Linked DNA regions of Lepisosteus oculatus. The protein of the gene in region 1 interacts with the protein of each later gene in a biochemical or structural test. Links are inferred from orthologs where the notes say so. Each region holds a gene or a part of one and is shown on either strand. Other genes may lie near its edges.

The links.
Region 2: the proteins of pax3b (region 1) and sox10 form a complex in vitro, tested with the Homo sapiens proteins (2 studies listed by BioGRID and IntAct). The link is inferred for Lepisosteus oculatus from reciprocal best matches to the Homo sapiens genes PAX3 and SOX10.

The regions. Positions count from the first base shown.
Region 1 is NC_090708.1:7,062,107-7,073,754, forward strand, and holds the start of pax3b (paired box protein Pax-3b), read left to right. Parts: upstream 1-5,800; 5' UTR 5,801-6,146; coding exon 6,147-6,231; intron 6,232-6,881; coding exon 6,882-7,117; intron 7,118-7,698; coding exon 7,699-7,828; intron 7,829-8,345; coding exon 8,346-8,489; intron 8,490-11,648. UniProt on the Homo sapiens protein: Transcription factor that may regulate cell proliferation, migration and apoptosis. Involved in neural development and myogenesis. Transcriptional activator of MITF, acting synergistically with SOX10.
Region 2 is NC_090707.1:38,709,104-38,720,720, reverse strand, and holds the start of sox10 (transcription factor SOX-10), read left to right. Parts: upstream 1-5,674; 5' UTR 5,675-5,858; intron 5,859-11,594; 5' UTR 11,595-11,617. UniProt on the Homo sapiens protein: Transcription factor that plays a central role in developing and mature glia.

The DNA.
Region 1 (11,648 bases):
CTTGTCCAATGGAATACAACGGGATAGATCTGGCTACTAGTAAAAAAAAAAGATACACCGCTTATATAGTTTGGGCTTGAACAAAGACTCAAGCCTGCAAAGCAGTTCAAAGTCGAGGGCCAGGACAATCAATTCTGTCTTTACAGGTTTTTGAGGGATGGTTAATTAGCAACTGATCAACAAACAGGTGATTTGACTTCTTAGCAGTTTGAGCTATTAATTAGAATTTAAAGTGTTAGGTTCAAAATTGACTCTGGACATCGAGGACTGTCACTGACTATTCCCGATCTAATGTAATGGACAATGCCTAATCTGTTTTTTTTTTTTAATATAGTCATCCTATGGGTTTATGACATAGAACGAGTGCAGGGGAACTAAAACATCAAACTACTGTGATTTCAGCTGAAACCTGCATTGGAAATTCCAGGCTGACTGAGGCGATCACCTCGAAAAACTGTCATCGCGGGGGGAGAGAAAGATTTTTGAAAAAAATCTCATTTTTTGCTGGTCAGAAGGAAAAAGGATCAAAAACAGCATTTTCGGTCGTGAATAAGGGGAGAGTAGTGCGAGTCTGGGGGGTGGCAGAGGCTGTGTAATCAACTCAGCACACCAGGCATTGAAGACACGAGATGCCTGAGGATGTCATTTTTATCTTCCCTCACCCCAAGTTAAAATAAAACCACTGAGTTTGAATCACTTAAGGAGCCTGTTAATCCCAGGCTGGTTGGGATGAAATATATATCCAGATGAATCGCGTGGAAATGACCGTAGGGCGTATGAACTGCCCGGGGACATGAGATTTAAACAGAATCGGTTAAGTGTGAATAACTATGTCATCCTTGTATATGCTGCACTGGACTAGACGCTCTTTAACAGACGCTGGCTCATGGCAGAGGATGTTGAGGAGATAGGAAGTGTGTTGCTAATGTCTTTTAACTCTGCTCACGGGATATAAGTATAAAACGTGCTGAATTTTAAATAATACTCGTTTACACGTACGCATCGCTAGGTATACTTCTTTGTGTGTATGACGTGAAACTGAACATTTTTTTTTTTGCGTTGGGGCAGGAGAGGCCTAATATACGAAGCACTAACGCAATAGGCTACCCTTTAATGAGCTTGGTGGATTTCAATTACTACGGTTTTACACATTTTAGAGAAGAAATATTGTGCAGTTCAGAGAAGCTGGGGTTTTTACCGTTCAAACATAAAAACTATACTGTATGTGACTAAATAGAAATTCATAAGAAAAAACAAATTCACTAACAACAAAAATGAGACAAATTCAGTGCATATTTATTTAAAGCAACAAGACGCCGAAAAGCAAATGCTAGATGTGGATTTAAAATGTAACCTACTTAAGAGACAGTGCAATTGAATACGTTTTAAATTGTAGGCACTGCTGAGCAGATATAGGAATGCACTGTTGCAATAAAGAGTATAATTAATGTGTTAATTAAATGTCACTTTTAAATCGTTGAAGTGCTTAAAGTGTTTTTAAAGAGATGTTATCAATAAGGATATTAACTACAAGGATACCGTTATTTTAGTGACTGATAATATTTCAAAATGATCTGTCTATAAAATTGTGAAGTGGTTTGTTTATATGAGTTATCGAGTGAACATAGTTTTTTTCTTGTCAGCCTTTGAAGACAAAGTTAGCAGTGGTAGTTTTAATTAATACTCAAACAGGAATACTAAGAAGTTACCTTGTATAGAAAATAATATGTCGATATTTAGACTACCGGTAGCTTAACCTAAGGTATGTTATCTCGCCTCAAAAGACACAATAAATGAATTTTATTCACATAAAAAATGGGTTACATATTAAGTTTGGTTTATTTCAATGTTATCTACCATACATAAAAAAGATGCTTGCATATCATTATAAAAATGTACTTAATATACAGATGGGAAAAATGCTTTAGTCAATGAAAACGTATGCGTGATTTTACCTGCGTTAGGTGAAACGTCTTCGTGTAGAGAGGTAGAGAGGGAAAAGTTCTCGAACTGGACAGATTTCAGAAGTCATGTTCTTTTTTCACAGAGAATAAAATAAACTTCAGTTCTCTTGGTACCTGATCCGTTTTCATCTTTCAAGATCTCCAAGTCTGAGTCTGCTCTTCTCCGACGCAGGGTGTAATCAAGCCTATTTCCCAATCCCCGGCGAAGAAGTGACGCGCATGATGGAATACACACAACCAATTCCAGATTTCAGGTACACTTTCTCGCGGATTGAAGTCTGGCTTGAAGTTTTTTAAAAAGCACAATAACAGACCCCAAAAACTCTCAAAGTATAGACGGTCACACAATGACAGTGGAAGATTCTACTTCTACAGAAAGTGAACACATTCATGCTCATAGTGTAGTTGGTTTTGATGAAATGTAGACCCAGAAACGGTGAAATTGGTCCCATACAGTACCTTCGCCTGTAGGCAAAGTCAAACTGTAAAAGACGATTCTTGTGTCCTTGAAACAGCAAAGACATTGAAACTAACCAAATGTTTTTTTTTCCACTATATATTGAGATGATTATCATCTTGAACTTCACTAAGAAGAACATTTTGGCAAGCCGTGCAATGGAGATGAACCAGTCTTTATGTGCAAGTGTTGAGATAATGGGTTTTCTGTTTTTTTTTTTATATACTGAAATTAGGTTTCTGTACATAAAACAAACCTTGAAAACTGAGCATATCACTCCCGTTAATCCATTAGCCATGGGGATCAAATGTCACTTTTGAAAATAAGGAAAAAGATTGTCATATGACTTTTTATTCTTAATATAGTAATATTGTGTTTCAGTATAATCTTTTTATCGATAATACGAGTCTGTTAGTACAATATCTGAATAACATATATCTTGCGACTACAAATTCAGTTTTCTTTTTTCACTAATATTTTAAGGAGTTTTAATAATCTATACAAAAACGCAAGCTGCGCATAGAGTTTTCCCCTTGCAAATTAACACATAATAGTTTTACAAGAACTTTATGCATTTTACTAGCAGTCGAGGTTTTAAGCAAACTGTATGTTACCGATGACCTTCTGGCGTTTTAAAGACAAAAAAAAACATGAATATTTTAGAAATGGATCTTTCGTGTTTATAACAGGTCTACTTTAATGAAATGACTCAAGGATTTAAAAAAATATTTAAAAAAAAACAAGGGCCGAAAACTTATTTTATTTCTAAAGAATACGACAATCTGCACTTTAAAATCACACCGGAGCTCCTAATTTCTAATGTTATTCATCAAATTGAACATTTTGTTTTCACAGAATAAATTGGTCTACTTTAAAATAACTTAAAATGTATAATTTCGTTACATCTCTAGAATTAGGTTTCGGGTCGTTTATAAACTATAATAGAGTTTCTTGCAACTTTAATATTTCTGTCTTAATCATACTTTGAGAGTGTTTACTTTTTCAGCAATTTATAAGCGAATTCCCAGATACTAGAAGTAGTCCTAACTACGTAAACGACATTTTCGCACTTTTTAATCCGTTAATTTAAAATCAACTTTCATTATTATTATTTGAATACAGTTGTTACATGCTAAATTGTAAATGTCTCAGTAAAGAGAGAACTACTTTGTTAACACGTGACAGAAACCCCGTTTCTAGCTTATTGGCTCACTTTCTTCCATTGTCTCGTGTTCACAAAAAGGAAAACATTTGAAGTATCTTTTTACATTTTTAAAAGGTAAAATGTTAATTGACCTTTCTGAGGTTGAGAGTCTTTTAATCTTTCTTCATTTAGGTGTTTGGTTGTGCTCACAAGTGCCTCTCCCTGCTGTGTTTTTATAAAGTGGACAAAGCACCAAAGAAAGCCCAATTAAAGGCTGGTGTTATGCGTTTTATACAAAAAAAACCGTCTGGTGTCGTTTTAACTGCAAATGTCGTGTTCCCCAGCAAAAACCTAGCCTGTAAATTCTTTTTAGCAAATACAGTATATACATATGTTATAGGCACAGCAGGGGCAGTACCTCTATATGTTATTGCAAGTAAATTCATCCTTAAGTGTCAGAAATGATCTACAGTAACTGAATTCAGGCTCAATATTATCGAAGCCCAGGCAACTACCATAAGCAAAATATGTAGTTTCCAATTAAACTAATGCCAATTATATATTCGGTATTCAGAACTCCCATTATAATCAGTAAATGTTTGGAAATCACCTGCATCTATTCACAATGTTCTGATCACTCTGTCTCAGATCTGTGAAAACTTCAGGACCTTTTTCGTGTTTCGGGTTTCAATGTGAGAAACCCTATTACGACTGAAAGGAGGATACACATGGCCAACCTAACTTTTTTTTTAACGTCTCCGTTTATCCATTATTAAAACTTTGTTTACGTTATAACGTTTCCACAAATTAATTTCAAAACGTAATTTATAGAATATTAATTGCCATTGTTACTCCTTTGTATGAATCTATCCCCACTCGTGTAGTCGGAGTCTCAGCTTGGCCATGGTGTAATTGCTAATCCATTTAAAATGCACCTGGGTCGCCCAAAGCTCTGTAATTAGCAAAAAGACTCCACGCGCTTCTATTGCAGACCGTGAAATGCGCTGCGCTCAGTGCAAGAACAATTATACCACATTAGAATGAATGAGAATTTAATGTTTTCGATACGTTTTTTTTTTCCCCAGCACGAAAAGGTTCATAGTGCCTATCGTTTTGGATGTTCTCTTCTGGACATTTATTTAACGCACGATTGCTTTTCACCATATTGAGGGGGGGAAGGTTATCAGCTAGCGAAGATGTTGACTCTTCAACAAAAAAGGCCCAATAAGACAGAAGAGCAGAAACAACAAGGGGGGGGTGCTGTCTAAAACTGGATATTTTAACACCTCCGATGAAACATTTGGGAAAATTCGATAGTTCGTCTCGAAAAGCCTTTGTTTGGCTGAATTCAAAGGCTACAGGCTACGGTGAACGAGCCCCATCCCTTTGATTGATTAAGGCCCTGAATAAGTCGAGTTTCTTGACTGACAGAGAAGTGAATAGGCTTCCCCAAATAATGAGTACTGTGGTGAACGGGGCTGGCACGTCCCTGCCGAAGTAAAAAGGGATGAGTTTTCTGGCACTTACGAAGTTATAAATAAAGGGTCCCCACAATTGCACCTTCTTCGGGGACAGACAGCCTTTACAGCACTCCTGGCGTCGTATCCTGCTGTGGCCCTCCAGTCCCTAGTCAGACATTTCGCTTCTTTTATTTTAACTAGTCCAGTGCAATCTAAATGCTACTATAAATTCCTAAGAATGGACAAACGCTAGAATATGTGTGTGTGTGTGTGCGCTAGTGGAGACAGACTCTAAATTACAACACATTTATTTTATGACCTCTGCGAGACCTAACCCCTGTAAGCGGATTCTGAGTAAGCTGCAGGCATCTTTTGCTCTTTTCGTTACTAATTCGAAAACGGGGAAAACTTGGGAGTGGGAGAAGGCACGATTTCTTCGCCCTTATAATAACGACAACCCGAGGCAAAGCCCGTCCGGTGTGAAACGCACAGCTGCCCGATCATATCTGTAATTAAAGACCGGTCTTGATAACACGAAATCGGTATCTGTTCTCACCCGAATCTCACACATACCTTCTTAGACAATGCGTTGCACTGTGACTACAATATGCTCAGGACTCTGAAACCGAGTCATGGAAGAAGAAAGTTGACACATCCACCAATCACGCTGCACTTTCTCTAACCGGGACATTCCTTCTTTTAGCCAATCAGAGGCGAGAAAAACCTGATGGAGCAAGGGGTGCAACAACTATTAAATGTTTCACTATTGCCCATAGAACCATTCCCTCGATCTGTGTCAACAACAACGCCACTAGTATATGAAGTTCTTCATCTAGTGACAGATCTAACCCTGTTAGATCTTCAGGACCGCGGAGCACCGCACTTGGTAAACTTGTCGGGAATTTTTACTTTTGCCAAAGTTTTTTTTGTGCGGGGGTGGGGGGGGGGATATTACATCATTTGGCACAGAAGGAAGCGTCTCGTAGCTTCATAAGAGCGAAACGATTGCAGCCTGGACTACAGATACTTTTTAAAGAGAGAGAGAAAAAAGAAACATTACTGCGTTTTCTGCTTCCACACCTTAAACGCAAGGTCACAAGTTTATCGAAGTGCGCAAAGACATGACAGCGATAGCTGGGGCAGTGCCAAGGATGATGAGACCCTCGCCTGGGCAGAATTACCCGCGTAGCGGATTTCCACTTGAAGGTAAATTGACATTTTCAAAGGGTTGCAGAATCCCAACTGTATTATTATTATTATTATTATTATTATTATTATTATTATTATTATTGTTGTTGTTGTTGTTGTTGTTATTAATAATTACATGCCGTTACAGGACAATGCACATGTTATAAAAACAATAAGAAAAGACACAGTGGACAGCACAAATGCATCGTTTTCTGAGAACTTATAAATTATTGCTATGTTTAAGAAAACTGCCAATTTCTGATACTACAGTATTTGTTTTAACAACACACAAAAAAACACGTGTTTTAAAAATGTTGTCTTGTTTTGTCCATTCAATTTAAATTCGTTCCACAAATTGGACGTTCGTTTGTTAAATGTGAGATGTTTTCAAATATGTTAAATCAAAATATTATACATCAGTAATTTAGAAGCAAGTGTTGCCACAATTAACTAATACTGGCTCGGATTTAATCCATACGTATTAAACGTATTACAAATTTATTTCTAAATGTCTTTTGAAATAGCAGATCTCATGCCTTGATAGGCTAAAGCCAACAACCGAAAGCAGTTAAAATGTAACGTTTTAAATTAACAATGTTAACAAATGGAAATGGTTATACCGATCTAGAAGAATTGACAGCCGTTATCACTTTTATTTCTTTATTAAGTTTCTACCCCTTTAGGTCAAGGAAGAGTAAATCAGCTTGGTGGAGTTTTCATAAACGGCAGACCTTTACCAAATCATATCAGGCACAAAATTGTGGAAATGGCTCATCACGGTATAAGGCCCTGTGTCATCTCACGCCAGCTCAGAGTGTCCCACGGCTGTGTGTCAAAGATCCTATGCAGGTATCAAGAGACAGGTTCTATCCGACCCGGAGCTATCGGCGGAAGCAAGCCCAAGGTGAGGCAGGAAGACGTTTTTTCTAAGTAGAGCAGAATATAGAAATCGTGATATCCAGACATTTCTTTTAAGAGTCCTTTAAAATGTTAACGCCGTTATATCAACGTTTGAGGCATCTCACGTCATCAATTTCCGTCTTCGAACTAACTCCATGATTTCAAGTTTTAAAACTCATCTAAATGGCACTTCACAATGTGACAGTGTTTACAGTTTTTTTTTGTGTGGAAATGCATAATATAAATTCATACCTACAATAATATATATATGTCGGTATTGATATGTGTTCCCGAAAGTAATGCACTACAAAAAAACTTGTATTCTTTTAAAGTGCATCAAGAGTGGAAATTATTTTGTCTGATGCAAACTGTATGCATATATAATGGAGAGATCATATTTTTTCTGCAAAGTGTACTCTTCCACAGGGTATTAATGCGTGAATTAATAAATTAAAAAGTATTAATAATCAGCACGTGAACACATCAATGTTCCATGCAATGCGCGACAAGTGTTGCAATCGATACAATCAATAGCTCTTCATTATTGTTAGAATTGTTATTATTGTAAATTCTTATCACTTAAAGCAGGTGACAACGCCAGACGTGGAGAAGAAAATTGAGGAATATAAGAGAGACAATCCTGGGATGTTTAGTTGGGAAATACGTGATAAATTACTGAAGGATGGAATTTGTGACCGAAATACTGTCCCCTCAGGTATTTCAAGAAATGTTTTCAATGCAAACTCACTTAATTCTTGTTTCGTTATTTTGGATAGACACACAGTCAGTGGATATTGTTTTTTGCTAAGGCAAAACATGTATTTATAGTTACAAGAAATAAAATCAAAAGTATCTCGAATTTTCATTTAGTTGTTAAGTCTTTTCATTTGAAAACTTCCGTTTTACACTGTACTTTTGCTACATTTAATTTGAAATCCAAATGTATATGTATACGCCTAGATAGAAATCCAAAATTCCTAAACCGCATATAACAGGTGTTTTTTTAACCGTTTGTTTTTTGTTAAATTTTCCTGTGTGGGGTTTTTTCCACACCTGTATAATATTGAAACAGGAGCATATTAGGTGTATGGATGTACGTAGGATTGTTTTATGTGAAAATGTATTATTTTTATTGTAATTAACATTTTACTCTATATAAAATTGCAATCAATTGCATTATGGCTTGGAATATATTTTATTAATTTTAATTCGTTACTTTTTACTTGTTTAAGTGAGCTCAATTAGTCGAATTATGAGGAGTAAATTTGGAGGCAAGGGTGAAGATGAAGACGATGATGATGAAATCGAAAGAAAAGAGTTTGAAGAAAATGAAAAGAAAACGAAACACAGTATCGATGGGATCCTTGGAGATAGATGTAAGTTGTGTCTTTTATTTTGAGAAATAAAAAGGGATATCTAGTGATTAAAGTAGTATCTCAGTAAATGTAGCTAGCCTGCTGTTAATAAAAGTAGTTAATCTGGTGTATACTAATGTAAGGAAGTTATTGTGGATATTTATTTTGTCACAAGCAGGTCTTATGTATGCTTCGAAAAAATATTTTAACATTCGGCGCAATAATGTAATACGTGAGAGCACGATCGATATTATCAATGTCTTTGTGGGGTTTAAAAATAAAATGTAATTGTAATGTAGCCCAGAAACAAAATCGAATTAGAAGGCACTTGCGTTTCAGTGCAGTGTGTGGGAAGTTTCCTACCGTTGTGTTTTGAGAGCTTGTCATGTCAGGTGGTAAATGTTTTCAGTAAGTGTTGAGAGTAATTTAAACAAGAGGTGATAGAGGCGACATCAAAGCACTCCCGTAATGGATAAACTGTTATCGGCCTCGAAACCTGTTGATGCCTTCACGCGTGTGTTAGGCCGGGACACCAGCCATGGAATGATAACACGGCAGTCATTTAGAAAGTGACTGCGTGTGATGCGTATCGAAACGAAAACAAAAACTACTGAGAGACAATACTAACATCCTATATAAACATCAGAAGTAAAATTGTTAATTTTACCGATTTCGTTTGCGTAGACTCGGATATCTTTTCGATACCAAAAAAAAAAAAACGAACGCAGTGATAATGGTTTTTTTTTCCCTGCTTAACTTATTGGTTTGTACATTACAGAGTGATCAGGTGTCATTTAATAAGAGTGGGTCTCCCAATCATTTTTTTTTATCTTGCGGTTGTTAAAAAAAGTTAGGAAAAAGTCCTAGGAATGATCGTCCGTTCGAAGTCAAGGAGTGTTTCATTTGTCTTTCTTCGTGTCGTTTGGCAGTATTCATGTAGGTATATTTTGAATGCTTCGTATATCTGATGATTCAAAAAAAGCTGGGATTTTTAAAAGAACGGTCGTCAACTCGAGGGCGGGCGCTTTAAAAATCAAATCGACTGCTTGTCCATATTGATACAGTGTCAAGGTATCAGAAATATCGCGGACTCGACCTTACTGCAAAAGAACGCGCTTGTAATTTGCGATCCAGAGCCTAGTCTAAAGTCTAATGGATGTTCTGGTTAAAAAAAAAACGCGAAGGATTCAGTCGGTTGAACCCACTAATAATTTTCTGGTTGTTGGCTTTAGCGGCTACTGTACTTAAATATTTCTGCAAACGGGCCAGGGAGGAGACAAAAAGTCCCAAATGAGCTGATCAAACATTTGTACAACTGTTCCATCTTTTACAAAGCCGGCCTTCAGTACACAATCAACACTTGGAGATGAACTTGGAAAACAAAGGAGAGAGAGTCCATTGAAACTCACACTTCAGCTTTTCGGTGACAAAGCCCGGGCTCGCAGCAGCTTGGCCAGTACAAAAGAAGGCAACCTTTTTATAATTCAGAGAGAAAAGAAGAGAAAGCAGGCCAACAAAGGGCTGAGAAAAGACATTATGAGCTTGCAATGAGGGATGAATTATTCAGTGATCTCCAATAGCTGCAGCTCCTAGCAGTTTTATGGACTCTCCACCGTGGAAAAATGGCCGTTTTCACCTACAAAATGTTTCTTTTGGAGTCTTTTAGGTCGTCTAAAGATGCCGACTGCCATTCAAAGGCACAATTGAAACCATTCTTTAAAAAGCAGAAGCAGAAGCATCCCATTTCATGCGCACCCCATTGTTAATTTAACATGTTTGAAACAGCATTTGTCAGCTTTTATAAAGACCTGTTGCGCTTCTTGAAAATGTTTGCAAAATGAGAGATGAACATGCATATAGCCTAAAACCACAAATTCGGAAATATGAACTACATGCTAGATGTTGTATCAGACATGTTAGGTACTATTACTACCAAAGGTCCGAGAAATGGAAAATAAATTATGAACAAAGAGACCAAAAGCCCTTCTAGTACTGGATTTATTATGGAACTGAGGAAAGTGTCCCCCACAAAAATAAAAGGCTAAGGCTGTAACAAACACAATGTAGCCTGTACTAAAGTCTTTTAGATTATATATCGGAATCTAAAAAAACTCCACAGCAGCAGCAACAACAACTATAATAATAATAATAATAATAATAATAATAATAATAATAATAATAATAATAATAGCCCACCACTCGTTATTACTTATAATATCGGCTAATATAAGAACTTGTCCGTTAAGGATTAGCTGTATTAATTCCGTAATACCCTCTTCTGGCCCTCTTTAACATTAATTGGGTCTTCTAAATGTTTCTGTTGCTGAGCTGTGTGACATTTAATGATTTGGAGAGTGTATTAAAGAGTCCTCTCTTGAATAGACACCAATGTTTCCCCAGAGAGGGGAACTGGGCCCTGAGGTGTGGTCACAATGGAGTCGCCCTAGTCATGCGCACTGCTACAATATTCACCCATCAAACTCACCCCCGAACCGAAAATCTCTTCAAGCAGATTAAATCGACTCTTTTATTTCTTCTCACTTTCATCTCAGACCAAACCCGCCCCCTTCGCCTGGGGCGCACATTCGTGAAATTTCTGTACCCGTTTCAGGAGTCTGAACAAAGGGAAGCGGTTCACTCGAGTGGGACAAATGCTTGCCGGCTTTTCCTGTTTGTCATTTTTTTAAATCATTTTTTTTCTTTATGCTGTAATGGAATTAAAGACAGCTGATTACTGTAGTTTAGACACGCGACAGGCGAACTCAAGATTAAATATTTAGATGTTAATTTACAATTAGCGACTTGTTGCGCTGACTTTGAAGTGTCATGACAGGGTCCGGGAGGGGCAAAGGTTAGTGTGATCTGTTCTTGATAGAACTTGAGCAGGGATCAAACTGTGGGCTGCAAGGAAATAAAACCAGGAGTAAAGACCCAACCGCAATAACAATTATTCGTATATTACGTTATCTGCACAAACGGGCAGCTGTAGGATGTAAAACATAAGAGGTGCAAACTACAGCTGTACTTATCGATTTCGCGTAATTGATTGCTTGTATGAATTATAGAGGTTTTACATCACAGAAAACACGCATTTAGCCAAAGTATAGATGGAAATATACAGGCCTACAGCAGCCCAGACACTGCGCGTTGGTCAATTGGAAGACTCGACTGTAGTTAACC
Region 2 (11,617 bases), on another chromosome or scaffold:
AGTTTCAAAGCCCTTCAGCGAAGACCACGAATCGCCGCACTTTTTCGAACTGTGGAGCACTGTGTCGTCTTCCGACTCCGCTATTTTTAACGCCGAGAACGATATTCGTTTAATTTCTCTTCGCACAAAGTAAAAAAAAAATACTTTCACGGCGGGTTTTGGGAAGAAAGGGAAGGACAAATATCTAATCGAAACGTTGATAGAGGCGCTCGGACCTGTAGAGCAGCTGGACCTGCGCCGTCAGCACGCAAAGCACTGGAAAGTCAAGTCTTATGTTGAACACAGGATATGACCACTAATTTCCCCCTGTGCCCCTGACTGATGGACAGTGTATCACAGTGTATCTCTGTGCGTGTGTGACCTCCTGTCCGGTGCTGTTTTCGACAGGTCTGTTCCACAGCGTTTCCGCGGTGTTTCAGTTCAGACCTTCGATGTCTCACCGAATGTCGCGCCTACACGCGGGGACAGCGATCTCGATCGCGATTGTCGGCGCTAACGGACTTGACGCTTCAGTCGGGTTCAGCAGACTCCTCTTTTCCCCCTGAAGAACTGCCCGTGACAGGGAAGAAAACAAACGAAACCCACCGCTCCCACGCCCGTCTTCTTCAGCCGGCGCGGCTGTTTCGCCACACCACGCGGAAGACACACGCATTGTGTGCGCGTGCAGTGGGGGGTGTAGGGGGGGGTGATACACTTTCCTCCTCACGTTTCTAATGGACTGGGACCGGGAATCCCCCAAGGACAATACTCCCCAGTTGCAGTTTGAAACCCACTCACCCGTGGGGTACAGACACCCCAACAGGCCTAAACTGGGATTTCAATTGGAAAAGCGCTGCAATTAAGACCGCGGGGTGAATACGGATCAAAGGAGGAATATTTTACACAATTCGTTTCGGGAGTGTCTTTGGAGGTCATCCGCGGTCAGCCCTGCCTCTGGACCGTCTGTACCGAGCGGAACCACAGGAGAGACGCCGAAACGCGACGGCGTGGCGAGCTGTCCACGCCTCGCGCTTCCGCAGACACGGGAGCCGCGCGCCCCACCTCCTGCTCGTCCCCGCGAGGCCCGGCCACCCCGAGAGCCACGAGGGGCATCGACAGCGGGACCCCTCCCCAGACACGCGCACGCCCGTCCTCTCCCTCCGGGAGGAATTTGCGCTCCGACGGCGTCGCCATCGCGAAGCTTCAGTTTGTGTTGTTTTTGTTATGGTTTTTTTTTTTTTGCTCCGAAACGCTGTAAAAGTTTACAGGCAGCAGCGTCGAGCATGAGGCTGGGCAGTTCGGTAAACAGAGTGACCCTCCCCTCACCCCTCTCCCCTCCCCACCCCCTCCTTCACCACCACCACCACCGAATGCACGGTTGTGAAACAGCACCTGGTTAAGACGCAGGAGTCGGCTCGTCCCCGGCGCACCTGAAGTCGCCCCCTCGGAGGCGCGCTCTCGCTCTCGCTCTCGGGCGCGGGCAGGGTCTCGCGGCAGCGGCGCTCCAGGTGTCCGCGGGGCAGGAGGGCATACCCCCCCCCCACACCAGGCCCAGATCCCCCCAGAGCCGGGACCCCAGGGGCCGGAGAGCGCAGCGCTCAGCCGGCGTGCCGAGCGCCCGTCCGGGAGCGTCTGTGAGCGCGCCGCAGAAGAAAGCCCTTCAGCACCAGCCCGTCTTTCTTTTCAACAACACGGCTGTTTTGTTTTGTTCCAGTTTTTTTTTCCTTTCATTAAGAGGTGGTGGTAGTGCGGGGGGGGGTCAGCGGCGGTGATCACATGATGTCAATTCACCTGAGCAGCGAACAAAGAGGGTACAGACAGGAGAGAGAGAGAGAGAGAGGGGGAGAGAGGAGAGAGGGAGAGGAGATTCACTCACAGGCCAGGGGACACTCTCACCAGGCCACACACTCAAGCAGAAAGTGGGATTCTGGGGAGGAGAGAGAGGGAGCACATAAGAGGTATTGTTGACCAGCACAGCGCCTGTGTTTGTCTGCATCCGGACCTCAGACCGCACTCGCTGCCTAGACCCGGCCCGGGACAGAGCCAGGAGCCATCCCGGGCTGGGCCGTGTCCGTCCGGCGGCTCTGGGAGCAGGGAAGGTGCTGTGGCTCCTCTGTGGGGGCTGGGTTTCCTGCTGGGACGCAGGCAGGCCGTTCCTCCCCGCACTCTGACAGGTGCTGTGGGCTAATAGCACTGGGCCACTCATACAGCTCTGCACACAACACACAGCACTGGGCCACTCATACAGCTCTGCACAAAACACACAGCACTGGGCAACTCATACAGCTCTGCACAAAACACACAGCACTGGGCCACTCATACAGCTCTGCACACAACACACAGCACTGGGCAACTCATACAGCTCTGCACAAAACACACAGCACTGGGCAACTCATACAGCTCTGCACAAAACACACAGCACTGGGCCACTCATACAGCTCTGCACAAAACACACAGCACTGGGCAACTCATACAGCTCTGCACAAAACACACAGCACTGGGCAACTCAAACAGCTCTGCACACAACACACAGCACCGTGCGATTTGTATGGTACTGCACAAAACACACAGCACCGTGCGATTTGTACGGTACTGCACAAAACACACCACTCTGTGCAATTTATACACTACTGCACCAAACACACCACACTGTGCAATGTGTACAGTACTATACAAATTATACAGCACTGTGCAATTTATAAAGTACTGCACAAATTAAACAGCATTGTGCAATTTATACGGTACAGGACAAAATACACAGCACTGTTCAATTTATGTAGTACTACACAAAAAACACAGCATTTTAAAAAGTATTGTCCAAAATAAACTGCTTTGTGCAATTCATGCAGTACTGCACAGATCATAAAGCACTGTGCAATGTGTATAATAGTGCACCAAATGTGTAGTGTTGTGAAAATAATACAATAGTGTGTAACACTTATAGGACACTCACGTTAATAACATGCCAGGACTAATGCCATTCCTGGTGATTCAGAATGTTGCACAAGAGCACAGAAATCAGCTCTTTCTGTTCTGCTTAAGGACACCAACTCAAAACTGGAAAACAAGCCGCTGTTTCCTGGAAGTGCCCAGGGAGCGTTCAACTCCCTCCAGTGTGAAATTCCACTCCGTGAGCTCCTTCTCCCTGGGAAGCCACACGGATCTCCACCCTCTCGGGACAGTCCCCCTTTCCTGCATCCAGACCCACGGGTCACGGACAGGGATAGCGCCCCTGTTCCCCCACCCATCCTTAGTGGGACGAACTCCGACAACGGTTCCATAAGCAGCCGGCCTGTGGCTCCGGCCCCCTGGAATGAGGGAAGGGAAAGGCCATTCATGCGGATCTCCTCCAGTGACATCAGCAGAGCCGATCCAGGACACCGGAATTCCGAGGAGGGATGTGCACCCCTGGGGGAGACAGGGGCTGCCGGCTGTCCCCCAGTCTTCACCCAGGTGAGGGGAGCGTCCTGCAGTCAGAGGTCTAGAGCCTGGTCAGATCACACCCTGAGCCATCAGGAGCCCTGGGGGGCTCTGTGCACTGTACGCCATTAACCTCCCACTCCAATTACCCCAGCCCCCCCTCCTCCGCCCCGGGGGCATCATCTCCAGGATGACACATCAGACACGCCAGCTATCTGTTCCCAGGCCCGCCGCTAATTAACTCTCTGGCCCCTGGCAGCTTCAAAGGAGCGCAGAATCGCAGCCCCCCGGCTGGGCCCGGCAGGGTGGAGAATCGGGCCCGGCCCGCGATGAAGTAGCGAGCCTCCCGGCCCCAGCTCATTCCGACGTCTCGGCTCTCCCCCGGAAAACCAGAGGCGGATCATCCTGCCAATTCCGGCCTTCAGCCCTGGAGTGTAAGCAATCTCAGACACTGCGGCCGGGCCCGGAGCCTCTACCCACAGGCACCCGCTCAGGGCTCTGTCTCGAATCCTGAGCCTTCAGCTCGGGCCCCGGGGGCCCCGCAGCCTGGTGTCGTCTTGCCCAGCGCCGGATGTCCCCCCTGCGCTCTCCGCACCCCCCGGTCCGTCACGGACGGTCGCCGAAGCCCGTGCGCTTGGCTCGCCCGAAAAACCTGCTCGCCCCGTGCGAAGAGCGTGGTGCCATCGCCATCCAGTCCGAACCCTGGGGTCCCCCCCCCGCGTGGCCCTCGTGCACCCTGACGCGCCTGCTGCCCCCTCCCGGCGGGAGCCAGCAGGGAGCCCTCGCTGACCGGCGGCACTCTGTGCCCAGACAAGCGCACCCCCACTCGTGCCACAGGACAGCCCCTTGCCCAGTGCCTTCGCTGGCTGGGCGACCCGGAGCGTTCGAGCCGCTGAACCGGTGGGCTCCTGAGGAACCAGGAGCAGCTCAGCAGCAGCGAGCGTCAGACCCGACCAGGGTCACAGGGGCGATCGGCGGTGCTGCCCAGGAAGCACGATGTGCGATGATCCCCGACTGGCACGTTCAGACTTCTCCAGCGAGCCAGGGGAAGGAGGGGGATTTACTCTGGGGGTCCAACGGGCTGGGGGGCCCCCCAGAGTGTCTGTGTACAGGGTGCACTCGCGAGAGACCCTCCTGCCGGCCCAGATGGGTCCCGAGGCGGCGGGTCGGACTGGGGTCTCCAGCCCCACTCTGTGCCCCCTTGCGTAAGGGCTGTGCTGAGCTCTTCCCACGAGCGACTCTATTAATAACTCCCCTGCCGCTGGAGCTGGGGAGAGAAACGTTAGGAACCGCAGAAGATCGTCGGCGTTTCTGGCTTCCAGTCACTATAAAAAGTCACACACTCTCCAAAACAGGAGCTGATAACTTCAGGAAAATGTAGATGAAGATTCTGAGATTTTTTTGCTTTTAATGAGTGAGTCGAATCGAACAAGCTCCTCATTCAGCGCACTACTCTGCCACTGGACGTGCTTCTCTCCTGGAGATCCCAGCCAGGGTCCCAGTCCAGGATGAGCCCCTACATCCCAGAGATCACAGTCAGGGTCCCAGTCCAGGATGGGCCCCTACAGCCTGGAGATCACAGCCAGGGTCCCAGTCCAGGATGAGCCCCTACAGCCTGGAGATCACAGCCAGGGTCCCAGTCCAGGATGAGCCCCTACAGCCTGGAGATCACAGCCAGGGTCCCAGTCCAGGATGAGCCCCTACAGCCTGGAGATCACAGCCAGGGTCCCATGCTGGATAAGGTGACCATTCTCCACTCAGGAAGTAAAGACATTGGGTCTCTTCAGTGGTTCCTCAGCAAGCGATGCCACGTGTCTGGAACCTGATTGAAAGCCCTTTATCACCTGACTGCCCACTGATCACAAGTAAACGTCATCACTGAACCTGTCTGTGCTCATGGACAGCCTAGCTCCGCTAGGATGTTTATCTCTTTTGTTTTTGCGTGGAAGGGCTTTTTTTATTTTCCTCCCAAGAAGGCAGATTTTGCCCAAGCAAAACCACCATCAGCACATTACATTTTGGGGGCTCGTCAAGTTGAAAAAAATAAAAACAAGGTGACAGAACTTCTGCGCCCTTTCGCCCCGCCCCTTCCTCCCCCTCCCCGTAGCCCCGCCCCCGCCCGCCCCGCCCCCGGGGCTCCGGCCAATCCGCGGCGAGGCGGGGGGCGTGGCCCGGCGGCCCGGGCCGTTCCAGCCGCTGTTCCTTTAAAGGTTTCGCCTCGGTTCCTTTTCAACTTTTTTTCCCCCCTCCCCTCCCGTGCCCTCCCCCCCCCCCCCAACCGCCACCTCACCCCTCCCTCCCGCCTCTCGCTCCGCACACAACGGAGCCCTTTAAGCCGGCGCGCGACACAGAGACGGCATTCATTGGGGGTAGAGCGAGCCGGCGCGAGGGGGCTGGGAGCGTCACCGGGAAATTCTAACTCAGCGCTCGTGCGGAGAGGAGCCTTCTCGCGCAGCACAGTAAGAGCACCGCTGGTGGGGTCTCTCTCTCTCTCTCTCTCTGCGTGTGTGTGTGTCTGTGTCTCTGTGCATCTCTCTGCCCGTCTCTGTCTGCCACTCTCCGGCCCCGGAGACCTCCAGCTGCCCGGCCGCGGGTCCGATCTCCTGCTTCCTCCTGCTTTCGGGAGAAAAAAAACGACACAAAACCGAGACAGATATCAGGAAACGTTGCTTCGTGCATGTTGTTGGCAGAGGAGGGCAAAAGCAGGGCAAACAGGACCCAAAAGTGCAAAGGGCATTATTACTATTAGTATTATTAGTATTAGTATTAGTATTATTATTGTGGTTGCTGTTGTAGTTGTGGTGGTTGTTAGCTGCGGCGGTCCTGTTGTCGTCGTGGTTTGTGTTGTTGTTGTTGTCGTTGTGTTGATGTTGTGATCGGTGCCGCTGGCGCCCCGGTGAATGGCCGGTTTGAACTGACTGAGCCGAGGGCTCGGGTCACCGGAACCCCGACACGCCAGCGGGTCTCGCCCCGGGGCCTGTTTATTTGTACCCGGTTCGGTTCTGCCGGACCTTCCAGTCCCCCTCTCCGCCCCACTGGGGCCGGGCTTTGGGGCCGGTTCGGCGGCCCGGCGGAGGGTTCCGTCTGTCCGAGCGGTCCGGTGGCGTCGGAAGGGTTAAGGCGAACGTCAACTCGATCTCGTTGTCACAGTCGTTGAAAAGTCTTTCTAAATGGTGACAAGGAGAATATGCATTAATATCATTAATTTAATATCATACTATCAATTATGATAATATTCTAATTCATATATTATTATTATTATTATTATTATTATTATAGTCTCTCGAACAGTGACAGCCCTGAAGTAATGTCGTGGTGTCTTGGGTCAGAGAAACACATTTCCGTGACAATGACACGTCCTGCTGCCCGGGGCCGATACGCAGAGCGGGGCACAGGTGGTCACTGCTGGTGGGCTTGCTCACGACCGGGGCTCGGGCTCACCTGCGGTCCGCTGGGCATGAGGAAAGGTTCCGACAAACGGGGCTCCTCTCTCCCCCACACTCCGGTCTGCCCGGACCGAGAAAACTAACTGCAATTGTACCCGGCCTGTATTTGCGTGGGCGACTTACAGGACATTTTTTACGAAATAAATAAATACTTACATTGCGAGTTCTCCGAAGTTCAGACAGGTCCGTGTGTGAAACTTTTAAACAACAGCCCTGTTATGCCCGGGGTTGTTATTATTAAAACTGATAAACACGAATTAAGTGTCACAGAATTTCTGCTCGTTTCTGTCAAGACGGATCTAAAATAAAAGTGATTTACGTATTATATATATTTATCTCAACAGACACTCAATAGGTGCAGTCTGTCCACGTACACTGCGCTTTTACACAGTTATACTGCTCGATTCTCAGAAGTTACAAACCTAACTGAGCCGGATTCATCGATTTTAGTTTCTCCGCTTATTTCTAAAAATCCCTGCCAAGGCCAGGGCAGCCTTCACTCTGACGTGCGGGCAGGACAGACGCCCCGGTTTCAGACGGAAAACGCCCGGTTTTGCTTTGTCACGCACAGAGAGGACATTCCCGCAGCACAGGGGACGAATAAGCAGCAGGAAAAAGAATACAACAGAAAGAAAAAACAGAAAAATGTCAAAGCGTTACGTGACAATAACCGCCCCTGCAGTACCTGTTGAAAGTGTTCGACACGAGGACAGCGCCAAACCGCATTTCACGAGCAGCGTGGAAGCTGGAAGGGTTTTCTAACAATATGAATACCTGAAATTTATTACTTTTAATTCGCAAATCAGTAAATGATTAAGGAAAAATGGTCGAACGAAAAATAATCTATAAACAGGTGCTTCGATTAATACGACAATGAAAAGTAAAATAACCAAGTTCGAGTATTAAAGGTAACCGGGGGGCCAAGTTCATCATCGTTTCATCTTCATCGTTGATGGTGATTCTAATTGCGAGTGAACGATAAAAGCACTATGGGTACCCCAATTCAAACCCTGAATCTCGGGGACCTCCCCCCGTATTTACAGAGGGCGGTCGTGCTCCGTGTAGATTTATTTCCCGAGCTGTTGGGACGCTCCTGCGCTCGGAGAGACCCGGTCGGTCCCGTGAGTCGGGATCAGCCGCTTGGTCCCGGTGGCGCTCCGGACCGGGAAGGGCCGGGCCAGGGACAGGCCAGGGACACAGCGACAGGCCGGACCCGCCCAGGACCTGCGCCACCGTCCGGCTCCTCGGAGCTCTGCTTTCAAATAACATAGCGGCGCAGGACAATTGCCCTCGAACTCAGGCTGATCATTAATTTCGCGATTAGCGCCCTGTGGAGCGGGGCCGAGAAGGCAGGACGTGGGATTTGAAACGACGCCCGAGACATCTAAAGCGTCACACGAATGAACCGCTTAGTTCTCCTCGGCAGTGGACCGCAGGCTGCGGTCCGACGCTGTTCGAACTTCCGGGGTCAAGTTCCTCCTCCGAACTGGGCTCGCGGGTCTTTTGGCTCGAGGGTCAGCGATGACCCCCGTTCCTCGCGGCGTGGCGCTCCCCCGTGGCTCCCTCCCGCTCACGGCGCCCACGGAGCCCCCGCGACACCGCGCCCCGCCCAAGCCTTCGCGACCGTCCCGCCGAGTTCAGGACTCGCTTTCCCGTGGTTCAACCCCAGGCTTCACACCGGCGTGGGGTTAAACCCTCGTCAGGGCCCACGGCACCCAGGACAGGGGAGTGTGCGTGTCGGAATAATACTTCGTGATAATAATGTGATAATACTTCGGGCACAAGGGACGTTTTCAGAAGCACCTACAGGCGCGAAGACCAAGCACTTGTGCAAAAAAAAACACGACACTAAAAAAATATTCGGACTCGAGTGGCGTGTGATCTGGGCCGGGCGCGCGGACAGTGCGGTCACGCTCACTGCAGCGCGAGTCTTCATTAACGCCTAATTGGCCGGAGATGTTCTCCAGCCTCCCGTGTATCCCCCAGGGTCATTCATTAACAGCGCTGTAATTAATCCCTCACTCCGACACCCCGGCGCTACCGGGGAGAGGCGGGGTACCGTCCCCCCAGAACACACAGTGCGCGTACGGGGTCCCCCCCCCCCCCAAGAACAAGACACAGTAGGGGTACAAAGTCCACCGCCTGAACCCCTCGGTAGCGCCCCCGGCACCAACACGAAGCCGGGAGCGGGGAAAAACCGTGCGTGACACGATCCACGCTTGAGGTGAGAGCACACGCACACGCACAGAAGAGGCGATGAGACGGGCGGAGCAGAGCAGACCGTACAGACTGGGTGTGACACAACAGCCGGTTACGTGACGCACGAAGGGGATTTGATGTGACGCCGATTTACACCTGACGTCACGTCTCGCCCGTCCTGGACCCCATTAGATCACAGACCCGTGCGCGCGCCGGTGGGGGGGGGGGTCGGACGACCTGCGCGTGAAGCTCAAGGTGCAGACGAGTGTCGACGAGGGAGCCGAATTAATCGCACGCGTGGGTCGCAGGTGGGCGCGTTATTTCACATTCGATGAGCTCGACACCAAGGCGCGAAATCCGGTTTCGGAGTCCACGTGATGAGTATGGCAAAACTGAGCAGCCGTCGCCGGAACCCGTCCGAGCTCCTCAACTGGACTGACGCGAGTCTCGCCGTCTTCCAAACACGACATGCTTCCTTTCTGGAAATACCTCGGGACACAGGGACACGGGGGGTGTTCCGCTCCGTGGCCGCTCGAACGAAAAGTCAAAACAGCACAGGAGAGGACTGCGCTGGGAAAAAACCCGAACTGAATGTCTCTTCAGTTCTTTATGCTGTAAGAATGTTGGAGGAAAATAGTCTGTTTCATATTAAGGACAGAAAAGTCCACATGATCCTCAAATTGAAACAGTCCTATCTTTCTAACAGACGAATTAATCATTTTTTGTTGGTCACTAATCATGAATATCTCATAATGCAGTAGTATTGATCAAATTAATCATATTATCGCAGTGCAGAGAATCATTCCCCGTTTCTTTGGGCCCTGTAAAGAGTTCGGGAGGCGAGGCGGCGGCCCGCACAGCTGGAAGGGGGGTATTTTACCTTGAGCGTCTCGTTTATCCCTGCTCTCTCTCTCTCCTGGGTGAGGGGGTCCGTGTCTGTGCGAGAAACAGGAGCGAATTCCTCTTCCTGTGCCTGTAGCTCGGGCTCGGCGGCTGGCCCCGCACACACACACACACACAGCCGGCTCTGTCCGCCGCGGCTCGGACCCGTGGACTGGGCACCAGTCCCCGGTGAGCTGGTCAGGACTGCGAGGCCGTCGACAGCGGGCCGGAGCGGGACTCGACACCCCGGGCCGCGGCCTGCCCGCACGGCCAGGCCATGTGAACGGCGGAGCTTCGAGTGAGGAGGATCCGTTTCACCGGGCGGTCGGCTTGTCGGCTGCCCACCGCCCCCATTCTCGCTCGTGTCTCCGTGCAGAAGCGGGGAACACGCCCGGCGTTTCTTCTACATCGGTTACGATTCGCCTGCGAGCCACAGACGCCAAGTCGGGGACATAATCCCGGCCCATCGCTGCGGTGTGCGCAGTGCCCTCCGGTCTGTCTCCTGCAGAACGGGTCCGGCACCTGGGCAGACTCTGCCTGCGGATTGCACGACCTGGACATTTTGGGCTTTTAAACAGCAACCTGGCTTGTTTTGTTGTGCTTGGAGGGGCGTCACTAACACAAAGAGTGCCTAGACGGAAATAATTACCGCCGGTGTCTTCTTCCCGAAATTCCGGAAGTCTCTGAGCGACCTGCGGTCCACAGACGGGACGTGTCCGGTGGGCTGTTTTGGAAAAGGGGGCCCCGCTTTTCCCCAAAAAAGATTTTTCCAAGTAGGGAGCTGGGTCGGCATGCACAGGCTGCAAAGGAACAAGTCGATGTCTATTCCTGCTGAAAAGAGAAGAAAAACACAACGTTTCGGCTGTGGAGTCTTCTCCGGGTGCGACGCCCTCAGGTGTCTCTTTTCTCCTCTCGTCAGCGCGGAATAAACCTTCACTTGTTATTGAGAGCCCAACACAGTTGAGCCTTGCGTGTCCAGTATTCACAGACCCCTGTGTGTGTGTGTTCAGTGCTCACTGACCCCTGTGTGTGTTCAGTGCTCACTGACCCCTGTGTGTGTGTGTTCAGTGCTCACTGACCCTGTGTGTGTGTTCAGTGCTCACTGACCCCTGTGTGTGTGTTCAGTGCTCACTGACCTCTGTGTGTGTGTTCAGAGCTCACTGACCCCTGTGTGTGTGTTCAGTATTGTATTCACAGACCCCTGTGTGTGTGTTCAGAGCTCACTGACCCCTGTGTGTGTGTTCAGAGCTCACTGACCCCTGTGTGTGTGTTCAGTATTGTATTCACAGACCCCTGTGTGTGTGTGTTCAGAGCTCACTGACCCCTGTGTGTGTGTGTTCAGAGCTCACTGACCCCTGTGTGTGTGTTCAGTATTGTATTCACAGACCCCTGTGTGTGTGTGTGTTCAGAGCTCACTGACCCCTGTGTGTGTGTGTGTTCAGAGCTCACTGACCCCTGTGTGTGTGTGTTCAGAGCTCACTGACCCCTGTGTGTGTGTGTGTTCAGAGCTCACAGACCCCTGTGTGTGTGTGTTCAGTATTCACTGACCCCTGTGTGTGTGTGTTCAGTATTCACTGACCCCTCTGTGTGTGTGTGTGTTCAGTGCTCACAGACCCCTGTGTGTGTGTGTTCAGTGCTCACTGACCCCCGTGTCTCTCTCTCCGCCAGGTGAGACCGGATCAGCAGTCGGC